2 linked regions of the Neurospora crassa OR74A genome follow. The main gene of each other region encodes a partner of the protein of the gene in region 2 in a complex. Links are inferred from orthologs where the notes say so. Each region holds a gene or a part of one and is shown on either strand. Other genes may lie near its edges.

Region 1 (3,750 bases), on a different chromosome or scaffold from region 2:
GCCTTGTCGAAGATATCACGGATGTTGCTCTCAGACTCACCGAACCACATGGAAAGCAGTTCGGGACCCTTGACGGAAATGAAGTTGGCTGCGCACTCGTTGGCAACAGCCTTGGCCAACATTGTCTTACCGGTACCAGGAGGACCGTAGAAAAGAACACCGCGAGATGGCGAAAGGCCAAACTTGAGGAACTTTTCGGGATGGTCGACGGGGTACTGGACACTCTCCCTGAGCTCCTGCTTGACAGTCTCGAGACCACCGATATCCTCCCAGCGGACGTTGGGAACCTCGACAACGGCAACCTCGCGAAGAGCCGAGGGGTTGGAGACACCGAGAGCAAAGCGGAAGTTCTCTTGGGTAACACCAAGAGAGTCAAGGACCTCGGCGTCGATAGTGTCTTCGTCCAGATCGATGAGATCCATCTTCTCACGAATCTGCTGCATGGCAGCCTCGGAGCAGAGGGCAGCAATATCAGAACCAACGTAACCGTGGGTCTCAGCAGCAATCTGCTCGAGATCGACGTCATCGGCAAGCTTCATGTTCTTGGTGTGGATCTGGAGAATCTCAAGACGACCGGTAGGGTCGGGGATGCCGATATCGACCTCGCGATCGAAACGGCCGAAACGACGGAGAGCGGGATCGATCGAGTTGGGACGGTTGGTGGCAGCCATAACAACAACGTTGGAACGGGCCTTCATACCATCCATGAGAGTAAGGAGCTGGGAGACGACGCGGCGCTCAACCTCGCCGTTGGTCTTCTCACGCTTGGGGGCGATCGAGTCGATCTCATCAATGAAGATGATAGCGGGCGAGTTCTTCTCAGCCTCCTCGAAAGCCTTGCGCAAATTCGACTCGGATTCACCGGCCATCTTGGACATGATCTCGGGGCCGTTGATCAAGAAGAAAAAGGCACCAGTCTCGTTGGCAACAGCGCGAGCCATCAAAGTCTTACCGGTACCAGGAGGGCCATAAAGCAGGACACCACGGGGCGGCTTGATACCAATGGACTTGAAAAGCTGAGGATGCCTGAGGGGCAGCTCAACCATTTCGCGGATCTGAGCCATCTGCTTACGGCAACCACCAATATCATCGTAACCAACCTCGTTGAGGTTGTTCTCCTCCTCGTCACGCTGGATGGGCTCGCCCTCGCAGTGGATGACGGTATCCTGAGCGACAATACCGTACTCTGGTGGGTCCACCTCGACGACCTTGAACTCGACTTGCCTCATACCACCGCGGACAATAAAGAGATCGCCTTGCCTGACAGGGCGGTAGGCCTCGCGGAAGTAGGGAGCAAGGAAGACGTCGAAGAGAGATCCGGTGATGCCCTCAACGGTATCGGCGATCGGGAGGACGGCAATACGCTTGGCCTACAAGGAGATGCTGTGTCAGCAAGGTGCCCATTCTATGACTAGGTGACCGGGTTATAGACTAACATATTTGATATCGGGACAAGGGTGAATGGTGATGATGTCGCCGTGCTTGACACGGAGGTTGTGGCGAACGACACGGTTGAGGCGTGCGCTGCCATCGTCAAGATCGTCATCGGCAAGAACAATCAAGACGGTGTCCTTTCTCTTCTTTCCGCGGACGAGAACGGTATCACCACGGAAGAGCTGGAGCTGCTCCATGGTGTTGTTGGAGAGGGCGATAATCGAGTTATCATCGTTGACGGCGTCAGTAACCCTGCATATGTGTTAGCTCAGGTTGCAGTGCCCCGCATCTTCAACGTCAACCTACATCAACTGGTTGGGCTTCTTCTTCTTCTTGAGAATAGCAGTGGCGGTATCATCTTCCTGTTCCATCGGTCAGCACGAGTGGTTCTCGAGATGTCTTTGGCGGGCAAGCGAGGTTGAACATACGGCCTTGTGCTCGGCACCAGAAGCGTCCCTGTTTGGCTTCAAGTCAGCTTGGCGTCATTCGCGATGAGGGGGCGCGACAGCTTCGAGAGCTCCCGCGATCAGCGTCGCTGCTTCACGTACATCAAGTTGACCTTCTTCTTCTGCTCGACGTGGTCGGGATTAGGTTCGGGAGCCATCTTGACGTTTGTGTTGGAATCAGTAGAATAAATGTGGTATTTGGGTATCGCGGACGGTGATGCTAATCCACGGAGAGGATGTAGCGGGAAGAAGTGGTTTTGGAGAAAAAGAAACCAGAATTCGTAGCCTCAAGACCCGCTGATAAAGGGATTCTTTGGAGGTTGGACGGCGAGGTGAAGGTGAATGGTGTTGGGATGGAAACAAAAAAAAGGACCAGTCGGAGGGACGAAGTGCCTTTGCGTTTTGGTGTTGGAGTTGGTTTCGTTTACGTTCAGGTTGTCACGGCCAGGCATGGAAAGGACGGTTCGAGCCAAAGCAAGCAAGCAAGCAAGCACCGCTGCGCCGGCGAGTGGCACCGACCGCTTGCTCCCTCCAAGGCCAGCCAACCAGGGGCAAGCAGCTGGTGGCCAGCAGCTGGGGAGCGGCAACAGCAACAGCGGGCATCTGATTCAACTGTCAGTGTCACTGACTGACAAACCGCCCCGCCAGGCGACCATTTGGATGACGAAGTATGAGCGGAGCCTTTTCTGGGGCGACAAAGGTCCGTGCTTTTCGCCCATAGGTACACTTCCATTCTGCCACTCTGTCTGCTTCCATGCCCTGGCTGTTCCGGGCTCCAGGCACGCCTTCTGCCATCGCTCCGAGGATCTTCAGGTCGCCCGACACACCTGGTAAAGCAACGGTGCGGCCGGAACCTTCGAATGCGTTCTACAAAGCTGCTGACAGATCAAAGCTTCATCTTGTTTGACTTGGGGTTCGTTCCATTTCTTCAGTTCGAGATTTACAGTGAATCGAGGTTCGGATGCTGCAGCACCGCTCGAGCACCGATGTCCAGATGGCCAGGCTGTCAGGTCTCTCCAAGGAAGCGAGACATGCTGCCCTGGGATTTCCTATTTGCCCCTCCCCCGCAGTACGGACAACAAGGCGGTCAGTGGTTGTCGCATGCACCACCGGATGGCCTGTACAGAGGCCACAGGCCAACGATGCTGCTAGGTAGGTATCACAGAAAACGAAATGGAACAGGACAACACGCGGAAAGTTGGCAGGCTGCAACTGTCGTCTTATCGAGATTCGAGAGAGTCCGTTTGTCCGGACGTCGCAGGAACCCGCATGCCACTTTGGGTGGAGCAAGCGAGTGACAAGAGCAAACGACGACCCTCGACCCGACCGAGAACCGGGTCCTCAGGGGTTGTAGGACACGTCCCCGCCCGTGCTTATACGAGGCGCGCGCCGGCCATACGGCTCCGCCCCGGCACGCCGATACCCAGTACGTCCCGGAGTCTCTCCCCGGACTGCTCGGCGCCCGGCTGGAAGAAGGCGGGGCTAGAAGCCAGGGAGCTCGGTACCCTTGTAACGTACTACATACATACACTACAGTAGTGTAGTACCATGGGTGTTAGCTACCCCGCTGTACATGGTGACCCCAAAGACGCTGCGGCGCGCCGCCCACCTGGCCATTCAGAGTCCAAAGGGACCTCAAGGTCCCATAGTCCAATGCCTCCACGATCCGGATCCGATATACCGTTACTACCTACTGTACAACACGCATTGAGCCAGAATGGGGCTGGAGCTCGGAGGGTGTGGCATTTCCTTTCAGGCAACAGACTAACAATCAAACCAGCCTCGACTTCAACGACGTTCACTCTCGTGGAGTCAGTGTGAGCAAGGCTTGGCAGTTTTCCGGGCACAGCTCGTTAGACATGAGGACTAC
Region 2 (3,659 bases):
GCGGCAGCAGCCTCGGCTTCTGCCTTGGCTTTAGCCGCGGCTTCGGCTTCGGCCTTCTGACGGGCAGCCTTGACACCCATCAGCTCTTCCATAAGGGCGCGGTCCTCCTCGTCTTGGTCCTTGTACTTGGCCGCAATCTTCTTTTGCTTGCCGCGCTGGCCACGCTTGGCGGGTGCCTTCTTCGCAGACTGTTGCTTTTGAGGGGCGGTTGATGACGAGGGAGTGCCGGTCTTTGCTGCAGATGATGGCTGGTTTGACTCTTCTTCCTCATCGTCGTCGTCGTCGTCCTCCTCCTCTTCATTTTGTGTTGCAGCAGGTTCCAGTTCCGCCGGCGACTTGATGCTCTCATCGGGACTGCTCACGGACTCCTCCTTGTTGATTTCAAGGTCTGCAAGCTCCTCCGTCGGAGGTTCTGTGCCTTGGGCAGCATCGCTTTCCACAGAACCGACTTGTCCAGATCGCTGCGAGTGCAGGGGATTGGCTCTTTCCTTCTGGTCTGCGGCGTCCTCGTCATCGTCATCACTCTCAGACTCTTCACCGGCCACTGGCTTCTGCTCGTGCGGGCTCTCTGCACGTTCTGACAGGGCATCCAGAGAGTCAGCGCGACCTTTTGTCTTGCGTTCTACAAAATCATAGACCCTATGGCGAGTATGCTTGGACTTGCTGTCGTCGGATACCCTGAAGAGTAGACCGAAACCAAGCGTCAATAGCGCCGGAGGCAGGAGGTTGCGCTTCCCTCGGACCATGAACGATCCTACCGGGAGGTATTCACCAGCGGGTGCGCTTTTCGAGACCTGGTCAGCATTGACCCACCAGGCCCCCATGCCAGCCTTGGAGTCCCAAGCACTAGAGCAGCATACCGACAAATTGCCAGCCTGAGCAAGCGTCGACGGCGGAATTGGTGCATCAGGTGTCTTTGGGTTATTCTTGATGATCACGCTTGCAGCTCCGTGAACATCGGCGTGAACGTAAACGTCACCCTTCCTCAGATACCGCTTGTACAGCATCTCGTTCTGTTGAGCATCACGGCCTCCGAGAACGAGATAACCGTCTGAGGAAATAAACCAGGTGAATTTCTCGAACCACATTTGCTTCCTGATGGGTTGGAGGACTGGTTTTTCTTGCTTGAGACCCTTTCTGAGATCTTCGGCGATCTTCTGCTCGGCATTTTTCAAGGCGATAACCGACTGCTGGACCGTCTTTTGCGCCTTGTCAGCAGCTGTTCGCTTCTGGTCGTAATATTCTCTGGCGTTGTTCCAAACGCTCAGTGTCAGGTTGATATCGACCTCAAGGCGTTTGACTGGCGCCTTGTCCTTGGTGGTGTCTGCCCCGTCGGCATCGTCTTCAGAATCGCTGTAATCGAACTCATCATCCTCTTTGTCTTGGTCAGCCTCGTCCTCTTCTTCCACGCCTTCTCCTAGCAGTAATGTGATGGTGTTCTCCTTCAGCTTCATCGGCAACTTGATAATTTCTGCGACGGGGTTACCCTGCTTCTGCTCCTTTTCAATTAGTTTCGTGATGTCAACCCAATCCATGCCTTCCTGTAGCAGGCCGTTCACGGCATCCATGGCTTCCTGGACACGTTCGATATTGGCTTGAATAGTCGCCGCCTTGCGGTAGTTTAGCATCTCCATCTCTTGCAGCCCTTCTATTCGCTTAGCTTGGTCCATACGAGCAGCTTCGAGCTTCCTCTTGGCAGCTGCCTCACGCTCGCTGAGCTTGGACTCTAGCCTTTGTCCCTCGAGGGATGAGAAGAATTCATCAACTGTTTTGTTGTAGCCGACGAACGGCAAGATACGATATGCCTTGTCATCCTCGAACTGCTTGGGTAGGAACGGCTGGAAGTCCTCGTAGAGGAGGGTCTTTGCTTTTTCGGCTGGTGGCGCATCGACGTCCAACTCTGTATCCTCAAACCCGGACCTAGGCTTGGCGATGATGTAACCATTGGAAACGGAGGAATCGGTGACCTCGTCAAGGATTTCTCGTGCTTGCTGGAGGGTGTCGAATAGCTTGTCTAGGAGGGAATCATCATCCAGGATTTCGGCAGGCTTGGTGGCTGGGTCGAAGCCGGTGAGGCGGAAGACGTGCTCGACGAGAATGGGCGGTAGCTCTGTGATGGTGGTCGCAAGGCCCCTTCGTAGCTCGTCGGCGCCCTTTTTCTTGATCTTCTTACCGGCAGCCTGATCAGCGGTTGCCTTTTGGACTGTGCTCTGCAGCGCATCCCTCAGACGCTCCTTGGTCAGGGCAGGAACACCTCCAAAGTTCTGTCTGTTTTCGAGCGTGTAGGTCAGACCAATGCGCTGGGGTTCCTGGCCTTCGCCCTCGGGAACATTTCGGAGCAGAGCCAAGATCTTGAGGTCGGCATCGGTAAGGATAATGTTGCCGCTAGCAAAGAATTCGAGGTAAAGTCGAAAAGCACCATCGCTGAACTGGAACTCAATGATGCGATCGGTGCCAATTTGCGAGACAGAGGTACAACGCCGGGTCTTGAGGTATTTGCGAAGCCTGGCGACGAATTGGCTGGGTGCCGGCGAAGCGGTGCGCACGAAGTCAGTCAAATGGCAGCGGAAACCGGATTCGATCAGGAGCTGCTGCCTGGTGTCGGGTTTGGCGAACTTGAGGAGGAGGATCTTGGAGTTGAGGTCGTAGATGTTGGCCAGGCGCAGCGACACCAGAGCTTCCGAGAGCTCGTGGGCCACCACCCTGACGTCGAGAGAGGAAAATCGCTGCTTCATGGAGGCTTATGGCCTTTGTGATCACCGAAGTTGAGCTCAATTTGGGCCGTAACGATATCAATAACGGGGGACGGTAAGGTCGGGTTTTCTCTAAATCGCTTCGGCCGTCCAAAACAATGCATCAAGATGTCATGGCGGGGTGGTGGGGTATCTGGGTACACTACTTTTGCTGGGCAAACAGTCATTCCCACACTCAATCGCCTGTGCAGTCTTGGCAAGAGGTGTGTGTGCGTGCACACACACACACACCGCATTTGACAAATCTGGCCATTTGACATCGCTTTACACGACTCAACTCAATCGTTTAATATCGAAATCTGGCCAAAACTAGTGCAAAAAGTCGATATTTTAATACTCTACGTCGTACAATTGTCTATTTTAATATTTACATTATCTTTTAAACCGTTATCAATATAGTACGCTACCCTAATACCCGCTAAAAGGTATTAATAATAATAATATTAGTAAATAACGAGTATCCTAATAATATTGCTAAGATTATTAGTGTAAGTATAAGGAGTATATAGAAATATAAGTATATTCTATTGGATATTAGTAAAGTATTTTTACTATTATAAATTTCCTAGAATATTAAAAAGCTTTCTATATAGGTATTTAAAGTATAGCGTATATTATATTATTCTTTATATTTTATTAATTGTAACTAATATTGTAAAGGAAGTTATAAACCTCCTTATATTGAAATTTAATTTATACTTTAATGAGATCTATGCCTTTTTAACTAACGAGTATAATATATATATTTCAATTAAAATTATACGGCGGTACCTTCGATAGGAGAAGTGGAAGAAGAAGCGATTCTATATAAAGGTATTATAATAATCCCCTATATTAGTAGTCGAATAGATATTAAAGGTCTTTTTATTTATTATAGAAATATTTGTATTTTGTAATAAGTTTAGT

What was found. The genes of interacting proteins can lie anywhere in the genome.
Region 1: NCU09191 (region 2) and NCU00018 share a complex: the UniProt entries of both Schizosaccharomyces pombe proteins name them as parts of the ribosome quality control complex. The link is inferred for Neurospora crassa OR74A from reciprocal best matches to the Schizosaccharomyces pombe genes rqc2 and cdc48.

Annotation. Positions count from the first base shown.
Region 1 is NC_026503.1:2,304,823-2,308,572, reverse strand, and holds the start of NCU00018 (cell division control protein Cdc48), read right to left. Parts: upstream 2,469-3,750; 5' UTR 2,039-2,468; coding exon 1,983-2,038; intron 1,891-1,982; coding exon 1,863-1,890; intron 1,797-1,862; coding exon 1,741-1,796; intron 1,687-1,740; coding exon 1,437-1,686; intron 1,371-1,436; coding exon 1-1,370. UniProt on the Schizosaccharomyces pombe protein: ATP-dependent chaperone which probably uses the energy provided by ATP hydrolysis to generate mechanical force to unfold substrate proteins, disassemble protein complexes, and disaggregate protein aggregates.
Region 2 is NC_026501.1:5,772,282-5,775,940, reverse strand, and holds the start of NCU09191 (hypothetical protein), read right to left. Parts: upstream 2,841-3,659; 5' UTR 2,736-2,840; coding exon 1-2,735. UniProt on the Schizosaccharomyces pombe protein: Key component of the ribosome quality control complex (RQC), a ribosome-associated complex that mediates the extraction of incompletely synthesized nascent chains from stalled ribosomes as well as their ubiquitin-mediated proteasomal degradation.